Linked DNA regions of Drosophila melanogaster. The gene in region 2 interacts genetically with the main gene of each other region. Each region holds a gene or a part of one and is shown on either strand. Other genes may lie near its edges.

What was found.
Region 1: of Ppt1 (region 2) and UbcE2H, changing one suppresses a phenotype caused by changing the other (phenotypic suppression), as found in Drosophila melanogaster (one study listed by BioGRID).
Region 3: of Ppt1 (region 2) and faf, changing one enhances a phenotype caused by changing the other (phenotypic enhancement), as found in Drosophila melanogaster (one study listed by BioGRID).
Region 4: of Ppt1 (region 2) and MESR4, changing one suppresses a phenotype caused by changing the other (phenotypic suppression), as found in Drosophila melanogaster (one study listed by BioGRID).

Annotation. Positions count from the first base shown.
Region 1 is NC_004354.4:8,087,679-8,095,908, forward strand, and holds the start of UbcE2H (ubiquitin conjugating enzyme E2H), read right to left. Parts: upstream 6,387-8,230; 5' UTR 6,097-6,386; intron 4,436-6,096; exon of another isoform or gene 4,247-4,435; intron 2,470-4,246; 5' UTR 2,183-2,469; coding exon 1,631-2,182; 3' UTR 1-1,630.
Region 2 is NC_004354.4:8,687,972-8,692,210, reverse strand, and holds Ppt1 (Palmitoyl-protein thioesterase 1), read left to right. Parts: upstream 1-1,983; 5' UTR 1,984-2,132; intron 2,133-2,164; exon of another isoform or gene 2,165-2,192; 5' UTR 2,193-2,231; coding exon 2,232-2,776; intron 2,777-2,916; coding exon 2,917-3,066; intron 3,067-3,122; coding exon 3,123-3,249; intron 3,250-3,308; coding exon 3,309-3,431; 3' UTR 3,432-3,584; downstream 3,585-4,239. Other genes in the region: CG11294 (uncharacterized protein), read left to right, coding at 1-43; Ogg1 (8-oxoguanine DNA glycosylase), read right to left, coding at 514-600, 660-1,146, 1,208-1,525, 1,584-1,723; CAH3 (carbonic anhydrase 3), read right to left, coding at 4,034-4,174. UniProt on the Drosophila melanogaster protein: Cleaves thioester-linked long fatty acyl groups such as palmitate from modified cysteine residues in proteins or peptides.
Region 3 is NT_033777.3:31,775,370-31,780,270, forward strand, and holds the start of faf (fat facets), read left to right. Parts: upstream 1-1,650; 5' UTR 1,651-1,813; intron 1,814-1,873; exon of another isoform or gene 1,874-2,195; intron 2,196-2,268; exon of another isoform or gene 2,269-2,382; intron 2,383-2,802; 5' UTR 2,803-3,096; coding exon 3,097-3,389; intron 3,390-3,990; coding exon 3,991-4,139; intron 4,140-4,193; coding exon 4,194-4,901. Other genes in the region: CG2126 (uncharacterized protein), read right to left, coding at 1-133, 190-324, 379-551, 615-827, 880-1,013, 1,076-1,183. UniProt on the Drosophila melanogaster protein: Ubiquitin C-terminal hydrolase involved in development and the imd/NF-kappa-B (IMD) signaling cascade. Required for eye and embryo development, and plays a role in compound eye assembly and oogenesis respectively.
Region 4 is NT_033778.4:17,545,724-17,551,042, forward strand, and holds the start of MESR4 (misexpression suppressor of ras 4), read left to right. Parts: upstream 1-2,045; 5' UTR 2,046-2,811; intron 2,812-3,162; 5' UTR 3,163-3,239; intron 3,240-3,345; 5' UTR 3,346-3,363; coding exon 3,364-5,319. Other genes in the region: cyp33 (cyclophilin-33), read left to right, coding at 1-214, 271-443, 517-661; RpL18A (ribosomal protein L18A), read right to left, coding at 748-1,263, 1,686-1,703.

The DNA.
Region 1 (8,230 bases), 600 kb from region 2:
GTATGTTGAGTGTGTGTGTGTGTGTCACTTATATACAACTATCAGATTACTCATTAATTCTGCTGTTAGACTTAGGCATAAGTATTGTTATAGTGTTAGTACATAGTACAGTAGATCGCTAATGTCTATATATCTGCACTTTCATTTGATTTCACTTAAGAACCCGCCTTCTAAAAATCACATCCTCATCAAAATTCCAACCCACCGGATGTTCTCCAATTCTCCATTTCTCCAATTTGATTAACAATTTTAAAAAGCGAGAACGAGGGAGAGAGATGACTAAGAGAGAGAGAGAGAGAGAGAGAGAACAATAAATCATGTAGTAAATGTGGTGTAAAGACAAAATGTATTATAATAAAAAAATATATGCTTTTGGCTTAAACACGGGTGACATAAGTTAGACATAAGAATTATTGCATTTAATTACACGATCAATTCGAATCCTATTTTAAAATATTACATAATAACCGTATAATAAGATTAATTAACAAGAAAAAGAACTGCAACGATTATTCCGTCTGTTCCACGCAATCGCCTCCATGCCTTTCCTCTAGGATTTGTCTTGGCTTTCTATTTCATTTCATTTAGTATCGATCGTATTCACCTTTTGATATATATTTTTTTTACTTTTCGGCAGAGAAAGTGCTGCTAAGTCTGATGATTTTCTGCGGTTTCCAAATATCTTAATACACATATACAGACAATAAAAAAAAATTCGCGCTTACAATTAAACGGAACAAAAACAAGACAAACATATAAAGTACACACTATTACATAAGAACAAATAATAATCCGCAGTTTTGCTGATCGATCGATCGTTCTAAGGTTTCCGTTCCTCTGGATTGCAAATTGGATAATTGGGTTATCGTCGTGTGGTATTTATATGTGGTGAGGGCATTCCAAAAACTTATGTTTGATGGTGGTATTTGTGTTTACGTTTTCTATCAACTTGTTAAACTCTAAAGAACGACGAGCATCGAAGTCTGTTTAATGCCAGATCAAGGCCAAAGCAATTTCTCGTCAAATTTCGCATTGCATGTGCACTTACTATAACCATTTAAATTGCGCTTGCATCTATGCTTTTATCTCTGCTATCTGTATTTTATCGGTTTTGTTTGTTTGTTTGTTTGTGTTTCTATTCTGTTTGTTTCTATTTTGCTCTTCCATCCGTTCCATTTTTTTTTTGTTACTGTGGTCTATATATCTGCTATGATCTGTTGCGATCGTTGCTCCAATCCGTTTTGTTATCAGCTACTGATGGCTAAACTAAGAGTTTTTAAATCTTGTTTTTCTTTCTGCTTACATTAGTGTATATATATATATATATTATGTATATATTTATATGTATCTGCGTGTGTGCGCTGATCATCACACGCCATCATCGAATCACTTTCTATCTTAAAATCCAATTATCATTTATCAATTATGTATATATATATATAGATATATATATATATATATTGTTGCTTTTTGTTCCATCGCCAACTGAAGGGGTATGGTGAAAGTATAAGTGAGTGTGTTTGTTTGGGGAAATTGGGTGGCAGGAAAATGGATTCTCGAAGCATTTGTATTAGGCTGTTGTCAGTGTTAGTGTTAGCGGTAGTTCCGTAGGCTGGCGGTCCAACCGATATTATAATTCCATGTCCCTGGCCTCATCCTCACTGTAGTCGGACATGCTCGACTCGCTGTCGCTGCTCTCCCGCTCCTGCTGCGCCGCCCGCAACGCGTCCTCGGTGGCATAGCGCTGCACATAGTCGGCCACCTTGCGATGATACTCCTCCGGCTCGTGCAGGTACAATGCGGCCGCATCCCGATTGAGCGGATCGACCGGATTGGGATATGTGAGCAGCTGCGGCAAGAACGATTCAAATATGTTCGATAGATCGTACAACGCCGTCCAGGCCTGATTGATAACATCCAGGCACACCGTACCCGAGGATTCGTCAATGTTCGGATGGTAGATCTTGTTCACAAAACCAATGCTCGGTGACTTGAAGGGATAGTTGTCGGGCAGGTAGACGCGCACCTTCCACACGCCGCCCTCGTAGGGCGTCTCCGTTGGACCGAAGAACTTGACGTGGAACTCGTTGAGGCCTCCCAGGATGGTCACCTCGTGCTTTGATTCGATCAGCTTGATCACATCGTTGTCCATGCGTCGCTTTCCGGCACTGGGCGAGGACATTTTGTTGGTTTATTTGGGATTGTAGTTGCCTGGCTTTTGATTTGATTGGTTTGGTTTGATTTGATTTGGTTTTGGAGTGGTCGTCTCCTCGTTGTTTTTCACTAAGGCTAAGGCGGTGTTATCTTTGTTATCTATAAGTTGTATGCTTAATGTTGTTCCTTTGAAATATTGCTATTGAGTTACATCCGCTATCCGCTTCCGGTTGCCCAGCTGCTGCTCCGCCAGCCACGAACTGCTCCGCATTCGTCAACTCTCACTGGCACCGTCCAGAGCAAAACGGGAGCTGCCTGCAATGGCAATTAATGGACACAAGGATAAGCAAGGATATTCAAATTAGAGATAGGTCAGGTGGTGTCATCTATAGCATAGAGACATCAACTTAAGGAAGTATTGGGATGTTACTTGAATACCTATTTACAATTTTGCTTTCTAAGTTTATAGTTTTTCAGACGTTATGGAGTTAAAAATATAGATAGGATATTTTTAAGGAATAAATATATTAAATTTTAAAGTGTTCCTAACATTTCTAATTTTATCCTTTTTTATAAGATGTTCTCTAAAAATGCACATTTAATTACTGGTAATTTTATCACGCAAAAGTTTAACTTAGCCAATTGGGACTGTGGCGCCAAGTCAGGGGATATGATCTGGAGGAGGTCGAGTTACCTTCTGAGTTATCTATGTCCCGTATATATATTTATATTCATGGTTATGTAGGTCACCAGCGAATCTCTTGCTCTCGCACACATACATAGAGAACATGCACATGCATACTTGGCCTAAATGAGGAAACTATGTCAGCAATCTGTGACGTCGTCGCCCAAATCCACCCACTACCACTCCCGCTTTCTCTCTCCAGCTCTCTCACTCTCATTGCCATTTGCAAAAATCGCCGTCCTTCGAAACGGATTTCAGCGGACTTTTGCTGCATACTTTCGGGATACCGTTATGCTCTATTCCCCTCCCCTCCACAGACTCTTTCATCCTTTCTCTCACCACTCACTTGCTCTTGGCGATTTCGTTTCAATTTCAATTCCGTTTCCCGTTTCGGTGGGTGAGGGCTTTTGTGCTAGTTGGTTGGTTGGGTGGCTGTTGTTTTCAAACAAGCTCAGCTGTTTAATGTTGTTGCTCAAAAGTCACGGAGCACTGCCAGAGAGAGAGAGAGAGAGAGCCAGAAAGAGAGTAGAAGAGGGGCAGCCCCACCGCAATCTTGAAATCAACAAATGTACAGTGGGGATGTGAGAAACATGAGCAGATCGATCAGCAACGTAAATCAAACGAACGTTACGGAATTATGAAAACTGTTACACAAATTTCAGGAAAAATAAAATTTTCAAATTATAATATATTCTTTCTGAATATATCGCTTTACCCCACTGTGCCCCATTCTATGGCTCTCCCTCTCTCTTCACCACTCTTCTACGCTTTGGGATGAGCTAATTCTGCTGTTACTGCTGTTACTCTCTTGTACTTTGTCAAGTGTTTGTATGTGATTGTATGTTTCTGTGTGTGTGTGTGTGTGTGTGTGCGCTGGCTCCCCTATCGCCCCCTATCTCTTTTTTTCCTTATGGCCACCACATATCAAAAATCTTTCCGTTTCTGTCTTTCTGTCACGGTTTGGCTTCGTTAGTTTAACAAATTGTGAAATTCTCTTTCGATTTCTGTGTGGAGAAGCATTACTGTGCCTGTTGTTTTTGCTTTTTATTGGCCTTACTGTACGCAATAAGCGAAGTAATACTGTCTCTCGTCGCTGTCGCTGTTGTTGCCTTTGCATTGCATTGCTTTTGTGCAAGACTCTTGAGTGGAAGTGGAAGTGTGCGTGTGTACTTGTGATGCCACCACATGGAAGATCACCAAGCAACCAAGTCAGCAGCAGCAACATCAATAATAAACAAACAAAATAATAAAAGTCAGCTGCAATTTGATGCTTTTGTTGTTGTCTCTTGGAGGTGGAATTCTTTTCACTCTTTATGAATGTCTTCATTTATAATATCACCATTGGCATCACCGTTAAATAATCACACACTTATTAAATATTTAAATTTAAACTTTTTGCAAATATACCTATATAAGACGGATTTTTGTGACTTTGTTATTTACTTGCAACTATTGTTGTGGTTTTTGGTGATGATGTTTTTAGTTGTTGCTGGCCCTCCGTCTCCCCTATCCACATATATCAGCCTACATATGTGTGTGTTTTCGTTTTCGCTCGTTTTGTTGTCTACTTCAACTAGTTACTGAAAATTAACTGGCAACAGAGTTTCGAGCCCCCAAAGCAGAAAGCAGAAAGCAGCGCACGTTGGAGCTCACGAGCATCTGACGGCGACAGCGACGCCAGCATAAAGCAGAGAGCGACAATCGGGAGAGCAAGCGCAAAAGAGAGAAGGTTGGTGGGGGCTGACGGGTGGAAGAAGAGGGACGAGGGAGAGAGAGATTGCTGAGTGCAGTACACGGGAAAAACTAAACTGCGATTCAATTTCAAATTAGAAATATATTTGCGTATGGCAGCTCCAAACACTTAATGAGTACTTAAATAAAGGCAATATAATTATAAAAAAGTAATAAAATAGTTACCAAATTCCTCATATAAACATATTGAAAACGGTGAAATAGAAACAAAATGTAGTCTGCCGAATATATTGCATACTTCAAGGCAAAACCAGATGGTAAATGGAATAAATTTGTTAGCTTCTTTACGTTAAATTTTTAACTTCTTATGTGGCTCTTTTTTCTTAGTGTAATGGACCCCCTTCAAAGGAAAATCATAATAACAAAGCGATGAGCAACAACAAATTGGACGAAGAGAGCCCCTAAAGTAAAGCAAAGCAAAGCAAAGAAAAGCTATAATCAAGGACAGCGACAGCTGTGAAATGCAGCAAAGGCAAAGCAAAGCCAGAAAAACAAGAAGCTAGAGAAAGAAATGAAACGGGAAATGGTAATAGGAGGGGGAGTGGGCTGAAAGGGTAGAGAGACGGGAGAGGCTAAAAAGCCGAAGTGGCGATGCCCTTCAAAATTGCACACATGTCACTGCCTTAGTGTGTGCGTGTGGAGCCTAGCAACAAAATATATACAAATACACATGCCAAAAGCAAATGAAGGAGGAGATTTAACGAGGTCAAATGCAACGGTTAAGCGAAAGGTTCGAAAGCAAACTCAAAATCAAAGTCAAAAATTAGGAAGACGTCTTAGTGGATTTCGTTTTTCGTGTTTTTGCAACCTCCCCCCACACATGCATAATGGGTCATTGACTGCACATGTGTGTGTGTGTACGCTTGTGTGGGGGAGGGGCAGAAAATGGTAGCAAATTGTTGTTGATGTAAAAGCATTCAATTTATTACTCAGCTTTAAAGCGCACATTTAATTGTTCGTGCTGATAAGACTTTTGAAACGCAAAACAGGGGGAGAATCGAAAACACAACGCAATAAGCAGGCCAAAAGCAAAGTGCGTAGTTTTCGGGTAGGTGGGGTAGGGTGGTGTGCAAAAGGGATGGCAATAGCACAACAAAGAAAATATTGCAACTAAGCTAACGGGGGAAGTTATAGAGATCCACATGTATATGTATATGTACAAATGCACGTTCTCAGCTTAGGGCTCCCGACTAACGGCGAATTGCTGGAAACAGAGGTAAATATGTATGTGGCGATTGGAAGTTTGATTTTGAATTCAAGGCAGCAGAATGCGAAATTAGAGAGAGAGGGCGATGGGGATTGCGGGCGCCAAAGAGAGATGGAAAACATTCACAGCTGTGCGGGGGTCAAACTGCTATTGTTGTTGTTGTTCGTCTATGGCTGATGATGTTGTTGTCGCACTCTCCCACACACACACACACTCGCAAATATCCGGGATATATTTTAAATATAAAGTAATTCTATTTTTCATCAAACAATTATGCATACACACACATATTCTGTACCTTTTTATTTTGATTTCTCTCGGTGTGTGTATATTTGCAGTTGCCTCCCGTTTTAGTTGTATTGTTGTTATTGTTGCTCGTGGGTGGTGTTATTGTGGACTGACGGTCGCCGTCGATTCTTACGCTTCGATACTTCTCCACATTTCCGTTTAATCACCGTGATTCCCTGTGCATTTTCCTAGATACTTCGTGTCTAATTACTTAATTAATTTTGTTTTGTTTTCCGGAATATGAAAGACTTGGAAAATTTGTAGTGTGACCAGCGCCTGCAGAGTGTGACCATTGATGACCGTTAAAATATACCGCAAGATTCTCAAAATATACCACTGAACAAAAGTGGTTCAAAGCTTCAATGGCCACAAGTCGAGTTTCAAACCTAAATTATTCTGCGTACAATTTTCAAAAAAAATCAGCTTTCAGAATTTGAAATTTAAACTCGTTGAATGTATACTTGAATTTTTGCATTTATTATTTTCATCTCTTACAATTGTAATTTCGTTCCGTTACATTTTGAATGCGTTTATTAAAACTTGTAATTTGTTTGGTTTTCTGTATTTAGGATCTCTATTTCGTGTTAAAAAATGAGAGGATAACAATCTTTTAAATTAGCTCTATTTGCTTGACGTAAAACGTGTTTGTTTTTGTTAACGTAGTACTTTTAAACATCAATTGTTTTTATTGCAGCTTCGTTTACTCTTTGCCTTATTGTTTTTATTTATTTCTTTTATTTTTCTTGCAAATACCGAGAGTGTTATTTAAATTCAAAATCGAAAGGTACAATTCGTGGCTAATATTGGTTTTAGTTTCTGATTTAGTTTAGTTTTTAACTGTTTGTAAATACTCCTATTCGTTATGAAACTTGGCAAATTAAATTCGTTCATGAATCAGCGCAGCTTGTCTCAATTTTAATATTAATTTAAAAATTAGATCCATACAGGGGTTTTTAAATAGATCTTTTAATATTATGCTCATGCGTTTTGATTAAAATTGGTTTCTTAAACAATATAACAATGGGAATCTCTAAAACTTAAATCAAATTGGATCGCAATGGTTTTAAGGGGGGAAACCACAATAGAAATTTATGGCAAAATGTTGAATTTTATAATTACGTTAACTTTTACTTCAATTCAGGCTGAGGCGAATTTTCAATTTTTTCCTAAGCTATAGGCAGTGTTTTCTAAACCACTTTTCGTTAACTGAAGGGGGTGAAAACTTAAAAGGGTATTGCTTTTTTAAAGTGGAATGATATCAAGATTTCTATACTACGTTTAAGGTAACCAAATCCAATGAAGAATATATATCATATGTGGTTTCCGCCCTCTAATTTTGTTTCATTACTAATCTGGTCTAAAATGTTAATTTTCATTTGAGCTTCGTTGTTTTAACTTTTAAGATTTATAACTGTGACGTAACAATAACAAAGATAGGCCATTGAAATCTGTCCAAAACTCTTTATGTTGTTATCTTGTTGGCTGTATGTGTTTATATAGAGATAGATATAACTTATCCCAGCGGATCGTGCTATCAGAAATAAATACAATATTCCTGCTTTGAAACTAGATTGAGAGGTCCTAGGCCTCTTCGAATCTAACTACTAAATAACATAACAAATACAATAGAGTTGCCTTAAAATTAAAATTTAAAATTATGGATCTTTTCGTTGGATCCGCTGGGAATTTTGTGTTGTTATTTTTTCTTGATAAATAGTGAGAGATATATAGAGAAAATGTGGCTGGTTTGCTGGAGGTTAAAACCCTATAGTTCAGAAAGAAAAGGTATTAACAAGTATTACAAAAAAAAATAAAACTGGTACTGCAATAATTTGTTTTAATATAATTCGGAATTCTGTATACCTTCAAAATGCAAGTGCCACAGTGTGTTCGTGTCTTTTAGTGAGTGAGAAATGCAAATGGTTGTCCTAACTTTCAATGCTCTTGCATAGTTAATTATTTTCAATTTCCAGCCTCCTTAGCCTCCAATTAATAAGTATTTGAGCTTTAACAATTGTCAATGATTTCCTGTTCGGCTTAGTTCTCCATCTCATAGATTATATAAACAAATTTAACATTATATGCTCGTTACATTCGAATCGATTTGGATTTTGCTAGCTGCAAATACTGCGATCATACATCGT
Region 2 (4,239 bases):
TCAGGGGGCGGCGGGATCAGCGGAGGCGAATGGAGGCCTGTAGACGAGGACTTTTATCAAGATACGGACAGATATAAAGATGCGGACACGGATACGAATGCGGATACAGATACTGAAACTTTCACTTGTACAGTGCTCACTCCAATAAAAGATTCGAATAACCACTTCATAAGCATATCCTAAACATCTGTATGCGTATCTAAAAGTGGTTTCCTTAGGTGATGAATTTCTAAAACGGACACAACACATTTTGAATATCCTAAATTTCAAATTCGAGCGCAATCTGTACACATAAATATGGCGATGTATATACAAAACGGACATTTAATGTACACTTTATTTAATCAATTACATCTGTTTAGCAATAAAAAAAAGATATATGAAACCCAGTATCAAGTTCTTTCTCTGTTTAGATATATATTTATATATACATTAGTATATACATTTCTATTATATTTTAATATTCAAATATTACAAGTAGGAATATTTTTTTTTTTAATCCAATAGATAAGATCACTTTTTAGGTTTTTTATTGGATTTTTTCTTACAAGCAACTGTGGAAGTATTTTGAAATTGACTCAAATCGGCAGAAAAGAGAATCTGAAATAATGATATTATAAGAAACACACAGACTAAATTGCAACTTTCAGTGTACTTACAGCTTGAGCCCAACCGGCATACTTTCCGTGTAGCTTTTGAAAATGTTTCGAGACCTCTTCGTAAATCTTCTTGGTTACGTTCTTTTGGCCGGTTAGATGTGGCAGGTAGTAATTTTGGGCAATTCTGTAAATATGAATGTCGACGGGCACTGACTCCAAGTGACCCATTGACATAAGGCAGATGCAATCGGCCACTTTGTATCCGATTCCGGGTAGCAGTGTCAGCTCCTCGCGAGCTTTTTCGAACGGCATGCTCTTTAGGCTTATGAACCAGTTTTGTCCCCCCTTTTTCTGGATCTCTTGCAGCGTTTGTGCTATGAACTTGGCCCGATAACCGAACTTGGCAGCCCTTAGCTGGGCATTAAGATCCTCGCATGGGATGTCGTGGAATCTATTTATCGTGGGAAATGTATACGCATCGGCACCATTGAAGTGACCAATCTTGGTGCCAAATGTAGCGCAAAACCATTCAATCATAGATGATATGCTAAGAAGAAACCAATTTACTGTATTTAATGATGGGATTCGCATTTGATTGAACCACCTACCGCTTGATGTTATTGTTCTGACTGCAAAGGAAGCTAAAAATGTTTTCGAACGGCTCCTGAGAAAGGAGGCGCACAGGCTTACTCAAGAACTTCACAAAGTTATCATCTTTGCTTAACCAATCTTTTTGGTTGACCTTTAGGTCGAAATCAACACGTAGGTAGTCAGATATCAAGGAAGAATAGTCCTTCGTGGCCAAAGGACTGCTGGTTCCGTATGCCTCGTAAGTTATGAAGGATTCTTCTTGCTGGAGCACCCAGTAGGTGTTGAACACCACTCCGCCATATTTCGTTCTATTACCATCGCATATGGATCGCCATCTGGCATGTAAAGTTGTTTTGAGTACATATGTTCATTATTAGTATGGATAGCGCTTACCGGAAACTCTGTCCTCCAAGCAAAGTTCTTTCCAAATCGCATTCTTCGAGGGATAAGCCTATGACACCCCGATCCTGTAAAACAGCCTTCATGTTTGAAAAAAGGCGCTTTTTATGGAAACCTAGGTTATGAGCCAGCATCCGGTTTTATAAACAACTTAAGCCGTGTTTTGGCATACTTAACAATAGTACTTTGTCACGTTTAAATAGTAAACCACATTAAAACTCGAGTTTAAATCGAAAGAAACAAACTCGCTGAATAAAATGTGTTATTGCTATCAGCTGTTTAGCATTTGTTTACCGTTCGGGGTATTCACAACATTCTACTTTTGCTTAGACGCCAGTGTTGGAAAATGTAAATTTTCTGTTCACAGCTGCACAATAAAGTACCAATAAATGCAGCAATGTAGACGAGGGCTTCGAAAAATGCACCTAATTGAACAGTTATATAGTCAAGCCTGTTGCCTTGAAAGGAAAAATAGTTGCAGTATTTTTCATGTTGCGTTAAAGCACGCAGTACGAAATTACCTTTAGGTATAAATAAGACCAGGTACATCCCGTACATGAAATATCCCGATTATATTATCGAACCATATATTATCGATAGCAGACGACTAATTTGATTTGCAAAAATTGCACTCCAACAACAATGATTTCTATCTGCTGTTCTCGTTTTTCATGCATTTTATTTTTGCTGTTCCTGATCTTTTCCCTCGTGCTGAGCTACATATGGTGGAGCCCGACGAAAGGAGGAACCAATCCGGAGGTCCTGCCGGTCGTTCTGTGGCACGGAATGGGCGACACCTGCTGCGTACCCTTCAGCCTGGGTGCCATTATGAACCTGATCGTGGAGCAAACAAAGGGCGGCTATGTGCGATCCCTGCAGATCGGCGGCAATGTTTTGATAGACTGGCAGAGCGGCTTCTTCATACATCCCAACGAACAGGTGGATTACGTTTGCAAGCAACTACTGCAGGATGAGCACCTGGCCAAGGGATACCACGCCATCGGATTCTCGCAAGGCGGCCAGTTTCTGCGTGCGGTTGCCGAACGTTGCCCGAATCCGCCAATGAGGAACCTTATCACACTCGGTGGGCAGCACCAGGGCATCTTCGGACTGCCCATGTGCCCCACCTTAACCGAAAAGCCCTGTGATTATATCACGAGGCTACTGGACAACGCCGCCTACGCACCGTGAGTCTATCTGTTGTTAAGGAATCCTAATATAATATAATTCCTGGAATTTACATGCTTATTAATCCAACACCACCATGTCGCCATCCTTGTCGTTTCCGTGTTAATTCTCTCTTCTCTCTTGCATACCATACACCCAGTGAAGTGCAGAAGGCATTGGTTCAGGCCACCTACTGGCACGACCCGATCATGGAGAACAAATACCGCCTGGGCAGCACATTTCTCGCGGACATTAACAACGAGCTCTTCATCAACAAGTTCTACATTGAGAATCTGCAAAAGCTTAAGAAGTAAGCGCGTATTATACTTATACATTTATCAAATATTATTAACCTCTGCTTTGCAGATTTGTGATGGTGCAGTTCCTAAACGACACAATTGTCCAGCCGAAGGAGTCCCAGTGGTTTCAATACTACACCACTGGGCAGAACAAAGTCATCCAGCCCTTTACTGAGAGCAAAGTCTATCAGGATGTACGTATGCATATCTATCACCTAACGTTCTAATATGAAATGTACATTTTTTCCTAAAGCTGGGACTGGACAAGATGCATCGACAAGGACAACTTGTCTTTCTCGGCGTCGAAGGTGATCACTTGGCCATATCCAAGGCCTGGTTTATCCAGAACATAGTGCCTCTCTTACTCGAAAAATAAGATGGTGCCCAAAAAGCACGTATTGTGACAAAAATGTTTGCATAGGTTTAATCCATTCTTCCTATTAACATAAGCATTTTAATATTAATAATGACTTTTTGATACTTTTATACATGTTTAATTAGATGTTTAATAAATTCAGTTTGGACATACAAAATGTGTTGATTTACTGTTCTTATTTTCCTCTTTTTCTCGCTTTCACTGTTTATCTTAATAACTTAAACGTTAGGATTACGTCTCTTGTAGATGTCTTAAGTAGTTGTGCCCGATATTTCTCTGAAATATTCAATGCAAGGCAACCGCGTGCTCCGACTAAAATTCCATACACGTATCCGTATCGTAAATACTCCGTATATATATATATATATATATATATATATATATGTATGTATGTATATGTATGTTTTGTTAGGTATATAACGCTATGTACATGAGGCAAATAACAAAAGCAGCTTACAGACAACCATAGACAGATAAATGTTTACACATAGCTATAGTTTAGATAGGCGATTGGGCGGAGAAAATTGCGCGAAAGGTTGGAAAAAGGAAAGTCAGCGGGAGCGGGAATTGTAGAATTGTATCCAAGTCATATGGCAAGCACATTATAACTTGGACTTTGGATTGGTGTTGCGCGCAAAGAAGATTTCCGGATCCTTGTGCGGACGCTGGATCTCGCGATAATTGTTGACTATCTTTTTGGACTCATCTTTGGGACACGATTGCAAATTGCGAAACACCTGAACCTGCAAATCAAAAGAGGTTTCTCAAATTTAGTGTTCCAAATGAAAGTATTTGGGGGATCATCTTG
Region 3 (4,901 bases), on a different chromosome or scaffold from region 2:
TCCCGGAACTCGGCAGGATCCGTGAAACGTACGGTCAAAATATAGAACAGTGTGGGGAAGGGCACCAAGCACATAAAGGCATAGTGGTAATTCAGGGAGGTGAGGCCGTAGGCCAACAACATCCAGTGCACAGCTGGGAAAGTAAGCTGCTGGTATACTTTATGTATGGTGAATGCGCACTTTGCTTACCTATGATGACCACGTTTTTTAACTCCCACACCGACGAGTGAACCAATGCCTTTAGGGTTTGATCCAGTTTGAGGGAATAGTGGATGGCATTGGCTACCATGGATATGGCCACGCTAAGGTACGGAAAGGAGTAATCTGAAAAAGAAAAGATCTCAAGACCAAAATATTAGCAAGCACTTAAGTACTCACAGATCAACCCACATCCTAACGCATGGATAAAGGTGAGCAGGGGCAGGAAGTAAAGAGCCGAGTAAATCGGCGCCTTGCTTCTGCCCCCCACATCCATAATTTTGCTGACTAGCGGGCGTATGAGAAACATGTTCACCAGGCACAGAAAGTAGAAAACCAGCACGATGGTTTGCCTGGAAATTGAACATTAAAGTGACTATTGTGAACACCTGGAGCCTTGGGTGGCTGGGTCTTACAATGGGTAAACTGCCTCCTGGGTGCAGTAGACTCGTGCCTCATAATTGGGGCTGGGGTTGTAAAACAATGTGTACCAGTCAGTAAGTTTTCGAACATCACAGGCGTAGAGGCGCAGCTCCCACATGGGCTCCATTAGCAAGGTGGCGAGGATGGCAGATATGGCAACCTCAACGAAAGCGCTGGCCGTCAAGATCAGCTGCTTCCGCGAAAACCTATGTGAATTCACTAAGTAAGTTCTTCTTCCAGTTTGATTAGTTCACTCACTTGCGATCCTTGGCGTCCATGTCAATGAAAAAGCAGTGCATCATAAGTGGCAGCATGGTCATGAATCCCAGGTATAGCCAGGAGTACGTGCTTAACTCGTCGCGGCATGGAGAGCATGCGTAACTTTGGTTCACCTGAACAATATAAAAGTAAATTATTTTCCAGGCGCCGTTCCGAAGGATGCTAGAACATTAACCCGAGATCCTCTGGGACAGACCCCGCAGCTGCTCCAGCTGTTGTTTCCTAGCGGTGATCGCCCACAGTAGGCTCCTGGGCAGCGTTCCAACGCGTCGTACATTCTCATGAAATCAAAACAATTACTTCGTATTGTATATTACATTAAACAAAATAAAAACAATACTCCTATCGATATCGGACTTATCGTTATCAGTAGGACCACTGAATAAACGAATAGGTTGTTCGTGCACTTAAATTAATACTAATTTATAAAATGATAATACATCAGAAGCACATGCGAAATGTATTAAAAATAAGGAAATTATTTTCTACAGATTATATAATGGGCCCTAAGACTGCTTTCTAATTTGATCAAATTAATAATACTATATGTTTTTATATATTTATTTACAATTAAACATGACTAGTAGAGTGTACATTCTTACAGTGCATTTCAATGATTTGATTTTATTTGAAATCCCAATTGCCAGAAATTTAAATTTAGGGTCCCTTATATGTACCACATAAACCAGTTCGATAGGCGCGCTTTTGGCATGGCCTGATAACTCTGGTAAAAAGCACCGCGCGAACCGGTTCAATTCATAACTAGTTCGCCCGAACTGCACAACCCTAGCAAAAGAAATAGCTTAAATATAATTTATTTAACGCGAATTGGACAACGAGCGGGTAGAAAAAACCCTGTGGCCGCAACCGCGACGCTCGCAGGATACGCAGCTCTTCGCCGTCGGGCAGGCAGGTAAAAAGCAATGGCAATTGGAGTTGACCGCAGAACAACAGCAACGGCAGACGCCATTTTGTCTATTGGCCGGCTGATTTGTAAGCTCAATATTCGCGAAATAGTTACCGCGACTAGCTTCGAGTGGCGCAGCCAAGTAAGGGCTCCCCGCTGTCCAGAGCAAAGGCGAAAGGAAGAGCAATCGCCCATTTTGAGGCCTGCGAAAAGTTGGGACTCGGTCGTCAGTTCGCTCGATTCCATTTGCGAAAAATAAATGTACGTGCGCGTGAGGAAGTGTGTGTGCGCGTGAAAAAACAGTGAAAAATAATAAAAAGCCGCACTGGCCGCCGTCCTTGGGTGACTTCCGTTAATCTCTTACAACTTTTAAAGCTATAGAAAGAATGTGAGCAATTTACCGCCCTCGACACACCCAATGAACCGCTAATTTTGGCATCTTTCTATAACTTTATGCGTAGTTATTTTCACCACCCTTCGCCTACACCCTTTCCCCGCCCCTTTTTCCACCAGTGGCTCCCACCCACCGACCGACATTCCGCTTAAGGATGATGCCGGGCGGAGAGAGATAGAGAGTGAGTGCAAAATCCGTAAACTTGGACGTGATGTAATTTTCGGCAGGAAAATGTTCTTTGTTTGCCCAAAAAAATAACAATAAATAAATAAGAATGAAGAGCGAGGCGTAAAACAAAAACAATTTTAAATTAAACTCAAACGCACACACAAAAAGAGAGGGTTCTGTGGGTGAGCGTGCGTGCGTGTGAGTGGGTGAGAGCGTAATTTGTGTGCTTTTGGAGCATTATTTGGCGCTTGCTGCCCCGTCTATTAAATAATATTGATTTTTCATATTCCAACCCAGCGCTCTCTTACACACACGCAGGACCACTCACACACCCAAAACTGAGCTTCGTACACATGTGGGCCTTTTCGGTCTCTCTCTTAGCGCTGTATTTATCCGCCTCTTATTGCCTCTTTCGCTTCGTTGCACTTTATAGATTTTTGCAAACTGGCCGCTGACCAGGCATTGGGAAAAAGGACAATAAGAGGGAGCCCAGAGCAAGAAGTCCAACTAACCGACCAACTGTGCCTCAAGAAACAGCAAATCAGCGGGGAACTCCCAAACTGGACAAGCAGAAGCCCGGATACCTCACATTTGCCATAAGACACCAGTCAAAAAACGACGCGCACTGCAGAACGCATTAGGATTAGCCCGGCACTAGAGCTCGTGCATTAACATCCGCTTCCGGTGCTCCGCAGAACGAGTTGGCTGGAGAGGATACCCCGCCACCATGACGTTCGACACTCGTAGGCACACCACCGGACAGCCGGGAAGCACAGCGCCCAGCTCAAGCAGCAGCACCACCAGCACAACAACCACCACAACGAGTCCGGCGCAGAGTGCCGGATCAGGATCGGGCATAGGAACAGGCACAGGAACAGTCGCCAACTCGAGTCTGCCAGGAGGAGGATCAGGTAGCTTGGACGGCAACCAGGATCAACAGCCGGCCACAGACAGTCAGAGCTCTGATGACGTGGCCGCTTCCTTGTCAGCGAACAGCGTGGACAGCACCATCACAATAGTGTAAGTGGTCGTGCTGCCGTATTTGCATGACTCCGCCCAATTAGTCGGGTTTTGTGCGTAGCACCAGTATGACCGCCACCCCTAAAGATCCCCAACATTCGTGTGTTTACTTTTGCGTAGTAATTCTTCCACATGCATTCTTTGTTTGTCTATGGTTGGGCCAGCACAATGTTCGTAATTCATTTAACTATGTTTCAGATGATTTTGGCCAGGCCACTGGTTAGTGACCATAAATGTGGCAATAAATGTTATCTTTCTTTTTCTTCGATAGGTGCACTTGGCTGCTGTCCAGTTTTAGCAATGAACTTACCAAGCTTTACTAATATTACCTTACCCGGCTATTACTATCTCATTTTGAATGCCCGTCCACGGCCTATCTTATCGCTTGTCCATCAAAATAAGCTAACACTGAAAATTACAAAAAAAAAAAAAAAAAAAATGTATGCGTTTTGGCATTTATTTTAATAGAAATAACCATTTAATAAACAGAAATGTTTATGGAAGGGTGTGCTTTGATTGACCCCCTAAGAACTTTTTTTTTTATGTGTATTATTTAATTTGTTATTTTTAATATTGAATAATTGTCCATTTAATTAAATAGGCCTCCAGAGAAGCTTATATCCTCGTTTCCCACGACGAAACTGAGATCACTAACGCAAAAGATATCCAATCCGCGTTGGGTGGTGCCGGTGCTGCCTGAACAGGAATTGGAGGTTCTCTTAAATGCAGCCATCGAACTGACCCAGGCTGGTAAGTGTGTCCAAACGATTTATTTGATACCCTCTAAAGTCAATTTATTTGCAGGTGTGGATCACGACTGCGAGCCATGTGTGGAGTTTTATCGCAATGGACTGAGCACTTCCTTTGCCAAGATCCTAACCGACGAGGCGGTGAATTCGTGGAAGAATAACATCCACCACTGTATCCTTGTGTCTTGCGGCAAGCTTCTACATCTAATCGCCATCCACATGCAGCGAGACAATCCCTATCTGCTTGACTTGCTGGCTATTGTTTTTGATCCGGAGAACAAGTTCAACACATTTAACGCAGGCCGTCAACCGGAGTGCTTCGCAGCGCCGGACTACATCTGGGGTCAGTTGGACAGCAACAAAATGTACGCCCGTCCGCCGCCGGAGCCCAAGAATGCGCGTGGCTGGCTTGTGGATCTTATTAACCGCTTCGGACAGTTGGGAGGCTTTGACAATCTACTGGAACGGTTTAACATCGGACTGGAACTGCTGAAGCGCAACCAAAACAAGTGCACTGGCAAGAATATTAGTGTCGAGGGTAGGGTTGAAAATGGGGCTCAGGATAATCGCCTCACCCTTGCCCTCATACACAGCCTCTTGCGTCCATTCGGTCAATGTTATGAGCTTCTAATGCCTGCCACTATAGCCAAGTACTTTATGCCCACCTGGAACGTTGTGTTAGACCTTCTGGACAGCTTCACAGACGAGGAGTTAAAGCGAGAAGTGAAACCTGAGGGACGCAATGACTACATCAATGGGATTG
Region 4 (5,319 bases), on a different chromosome or scaffold from region 2:
ATCCACCGGGCCGGCAGTCATCGAAAAGGCAGAGAAACGCAATCCACAAGTCTTCTTTGACATACGGATTGGTGGCAATGACGCCGGTCGCATTGTGATGCTCCTCCGGGCAGATGTGGTGCCGAAGACGGCGGAGAACTTTCGGCAATTGTGCACCCACGAGCAGGGCTACGGCTACAAAGGCTGCTCCTTCCACCGCGTGATACCCGAGTTTGTAAGATAATAATTTGGCATAGTTTTCTTCATTTATGCATTCTTTCCATTCAAAAGATGTGTCAAGGAGGCGACTTCACCAACAACAATGGCACCGGCGGCAAGTCCATCTATGGCAAAAAGTTCAACGATGAGAACTTCAATCTGAAACACAACAGTTTTGGAACTCTTTCAATGGCCAACTCGGGCGCCAACACAAATGGCTCGCAGTTTTTTATATGTACCACAAAGTAAGCTGGTTTTACAATAAATAATTTAACTGAAATATTTCCTTCTACTAATTACATTTCTTTTGTTCTACAGAACAGATTGGCTGGACAACAAGCACGTCGTTTTTGGCCATGTCATCAGTGGCGCCGAGGTGGTGCGCAAGATGGAACGTTGTGGCTCCAAGTCGGGCACTCCCAGCCAAAAGATTGTCATATACTCCTGTGGAGAACTCAAATAAAGAAGCTTTCACAACTAGTGTACTCTTCAACGTTCTCATTTATTGAAAAAATCCACTAAGTCATAGGTATAGGATGCAGGAGAATCCTACTGGAAGTAGGTCCTGGGCTTCCTGAACGAGAACAGTTTCCTGTTGCCCTTGTGGTGGACACGCTGGACCAGAGGGAACTTGATCTTTGAATCGTGGAACTGCTTCACGTGCACGCGGCGGGTCTTGGCGGCAGGGATCGAGTCCACCTTAATGATCTGGATGGAGTGGGCACGGGCACGGTGGCGGGCTCCCATGTCGCGGTAGCACTGAGTGACGGCACCGCCGACAGTCAGGTCACGGTACTCGCGGTACATGTTGTGGGTGCCCGAGCGGGAATCGTAACGCAGCCAGATGCCGAAGTTCTTGATCTTCACGGGCGACGTCTCGTACACCTGCTTGATGGACACGATCTCGCCGGTGGTCTTCTTGAACTTCTTCAGTTGGCGCAGGAAGTACCAGAAGCGGGATTTGGCCACGATGTTGTCGGGGGCAAAGATGCGCATCTTGTAGAGGGGAGTCTGGGGCTCCTTCTCGCTGGGCAGCTTGCGGCCCACGACCTCGTACTCCTTCAACTGCAAATGGGATTTGGATTAGTTTAAATGGTCTACATAAAACAATTGTAAACAAATGCGAACAGTCGCAGGCAAACAAACACACGCATGGCTGTTGGTTTTTGAAGGTTATGTTTTCGGCGGCACAAAGCAGTTGTATTTCTATTATATTGAATATGTTTGAATAGTTAGTTATAAATTCGTACTGAATAATAGTTTCTCACAATTATGTAAATTACTTTTGTGAGTTAGATAGGATCACATTTTTAAGAAAAGTGGCTCGGCAAACATTGTCCACGACAATGTCGTTTTTTACACAGAAATTACGGAGTTTTAAAAAATCCAACGATTACGCCAAATAGGCTATGTTTTTGCTTATCTGTTGCACGCATTTTAAACTAAAATAATGATTGTATAAATCATTTATTTTGGCAAATACTAACCAATCCCTTGGCTCTCATGTTGGACGTTCACGCGAAAAGGAAACGGAAAGAGCTTGTCAAATCGGTATGACACTGAACCTCGATTCAGGGATGGAAAAAACTATCGATAGCTAACTACGAATATTAGTTATGATTGATCCACTGTGATACTGGACGTGCTATAATGGTTCGTTTAAAATTAAGATAATTACTCAAGATAATATTTTTAAATAGCCCGTGTAAATAAGATTTTAACAATAATTGCTGGTACTGGCCAAGTATCGATATGCTTACATTGAACCGCAAGGGAAAAGCACAGCGATGCCTGTCACACGGTTGCATTTTTGGCAGTCACACCAACACGCTGCGCCAGCTATCGAACTATCGTCCATCACTAGCTTCTGCGCGTGTTTCAATGGCATGGCTGTAAAAAAGGCGAAAAATATTGCTAAAAACTTGTTTTTCACGCTTTATTCGAGCTCTCTCCGCAGCCAAATTGTGAAATATCCAATCCCCATACGCTACCCAATGTGCAGCTACTAAAATACGGTGAAAAAGAGCGCGAACAAATCGAGCAGAACGTAAAATGCAAAGCGTGGACGGCGACGTTCAAAAAGAAGAACATTTTTTACCCCGCACAAGAGACGCGCAAAAAGGCAAAAAAGCAATTCGACAATATCATTGTGCTTCTGGTCGAAACTAAGCCCAACGGCAATTGGGTGCACTTGTGAAATCTGTTTGCATTACGTATGCGAGTCCTGCGAGTTTATAAACAATTGAAACCAGGCGTTAATTGTATAAGTTCGCCGTGGGGTGGGGGCGCCCCGCTCTCCTTCCGAGCCGTCTCGGCTCGTCCAATCCAATCCGCTGGGCAAATTCTCTCGGTTTCGGTCTCTTTTTGGTTCAGTTGTGCAGCGAACTTCCGTGAAATCGGTTGTTGTTTTGGCTACGTTCTCTCCTTGCTGTTTGCGCGCGTAAAATTCATCGCTCTTTCTCTCCCTCTCTTGCCTTCCCACTCTCTCTCCCTCTGCCGCCTACAAATTGTGGGAAAATTCTACCTAAGCAGGGTACAGCAACAAGAACAACAACAGCAATAATACGCTGAGCAGAACCGACAAAACAACAGCAACGCATAGGAGGAGAGCAGGTAAATAAACGTGCATAATTGCTGTACATTTTGATTGTAGTGTCCATTCCAAGAATATTTCAAGTAAATTCGTTTATTTTTAGCAGTAAGTGGCTCTCACGTTGCCATTTTGTTAACATTTATTTTGGTATTTTCAATTATTTTGACTTTTCGTTTGCACCAGGGCTGCAAGATCAACCAATGACCGGCGATTTTTGTGCAATACAAATGTTTATGCCGTTAATATTCTGAAAAATTTATCGTGTATACCCCCGCATAAACATTTAGCCTTTGCTGTCATTCTAATTTTTTTTTATCGAAATACCAAACCCAATATCTCGTAATAATAAATTCGTTTCATTTCGCTTTCAGCTGCGTAAAGAACAACGAAAAGCATACAAGAAAAATAGCGAGAACCGGAACGGATTCAACGCCAACGGCATGCAAAGGTAATGAATATAACAATTTTTGTCTAAAGTGCGTTTAATTAATAGCGCTCTGATTATTTGTTTTTCTCCTCTTTTCTTAAATGTTATTATTGTTTTTTGCTGACAGCGTGTGATTGCAGATAATATGATGGAAGCATTGGATCAGCAACAAGCCAAGCTAACGTCTAACCGAGATGATGGAGAAGCGGGAAGAGGATCGGAAACGGGATCGGAAGAGGGCACCGGGGCAGGTGCAGCTGCTGGCGAAGAAGACGACATCGAAGAACTTCATTATGTGCTGGACCAGGCGAAGGAGGAAAACGAGAGCCACCAACATGGACAGAACAACAACGCTAAGGGAAATGAAGATGGGAAGCCGAAAAAGAACGATGACGTGATAGATGTAACCATGGCAAATGGCCAGGGTTTCAAAGACACACCTGAAGAAGAGACGACCGGAACGGAAGAGACAGCCGAAACGGAGGAGACAGCCGAAACGGAAGAGGCAGAGCAGGCAGAGGAATCTCTTCTTAATTCACGAAAAAGCACGGATACACCAGTCGATTTAGGAGCAAATTGCTTGACAACTGGCTCTCCCTCTAAAGATCTCGTAAAGCAAGAGCTTGTCGAAGACAAATCGGAGGAACTCAAAGAACCAACCAGCATCTCACTTAATGAGCAGTTCTTAGATGATATTGAACTAAAGACCGAAGTGGAGGACAAATCGGATTCCTTAAGTGAGACCCATATGGAGTTCTTAACGGATTCGGAAGAGCAGCCCTCAGAGTCTTTAGGGGCAAATCATGAGTCCGAAATCGATGAAAAGGTGGACCACTTCCAGCCAAAAGAATCTGACAGCAATGAAGTGGAGGATAAGTATTTTCAATCAGCAAATGAAGATTCCGAAAGCGAAATTGAGGAAACAGTGTACACCCCGCCAGTGATAAATCTTGAAACAGATTCTGAAAGTGGGGATAAAGAGTTCATATCAATTAAAGATAATGAGAGTCCTGTTTTGGAGATTGAAGGAGGGACAGAAAAGAGTCAGACTTCAGGAGATCTTTACCAAGCTGACGTTGGTGAATACGCTTCCACTGCACCGCCAGAAGTGGATGAGACTACATCGCAAACAATTGGTGTACCTTCTTTAGAGGGATCCGATACACTGGATTCTCCTTCGCTGACAATGGATGTAGATCTTCCATGCAGCGAAGACGGAGCGCCCCCTAATGTCATTAAAATCGAGTCTGATATGGAAGATGAAGCACACAGTGATAGTGTCAAGTTGAAAGAACATACTGTAGAGGTCGTTCCGTTGATAAAACTCAATGGGGCACATAAAGCTTTGAAAGAAGAGAAGCTCGAGGACGGGGAGGTCGAGGAGGTCGAGGATCCCGGCGAAGAGCTGGAAGACCCCAAGGAACAGTCTGTGATAACAAACCACACTGGCAACAACACTAAGGAGGAGGACACTACCGCTTCTCAGGTGTCAGCGCTTCCCCTGATTCTACCCGTTGGTACCACCCGTAGCAGAAGTATAAGCAGCAGGAGCAGCACTGTAAGCTCTGCTTCGCAGCCGCATCTGGTCATCGATCATCCAGAGAGCGAGCACAATGCCAAACCGCCGGCTCTGAAGCTTTCGCTGAAGCGCAGGCGCAGCAAGAGTTCCTCCGTCAGCCAACCCGAAAAACAAACAAAGGTGGAGGCAGGTGGCTTCGTTTCCTCGCTGCTTCTGCAACGCCTTCAGAGCAACTCTAATGTTATTCCGCCTGCCATCTCTACGGAGTCTCAACAAGTCCTTAGTTGTGCAAAGTGCAATTTGCAGTTCGATTTCGAAAGGTTTCAGGAGCTGAACAAGCACCAGGCCCAGTGCAGCGGGATCCAAAGTGCGAATAGTTCCCAGCTATCGCAGAAGCAGGAGCGATTCTTTCGTTGCTCCCAGTGTTGCAGCGTTCACCAGTGCTGGCACTTTTTTCTCCACATGCGTGAAGTCCACCGTCGTTACATTTGTCTATATTGTAATCATGTGTATCCCAGTGTAGAAAAGCTGTCGCTGCATCTAGAAAACAAGCATGACATCGACCAGAGTCACTTCGCTAAG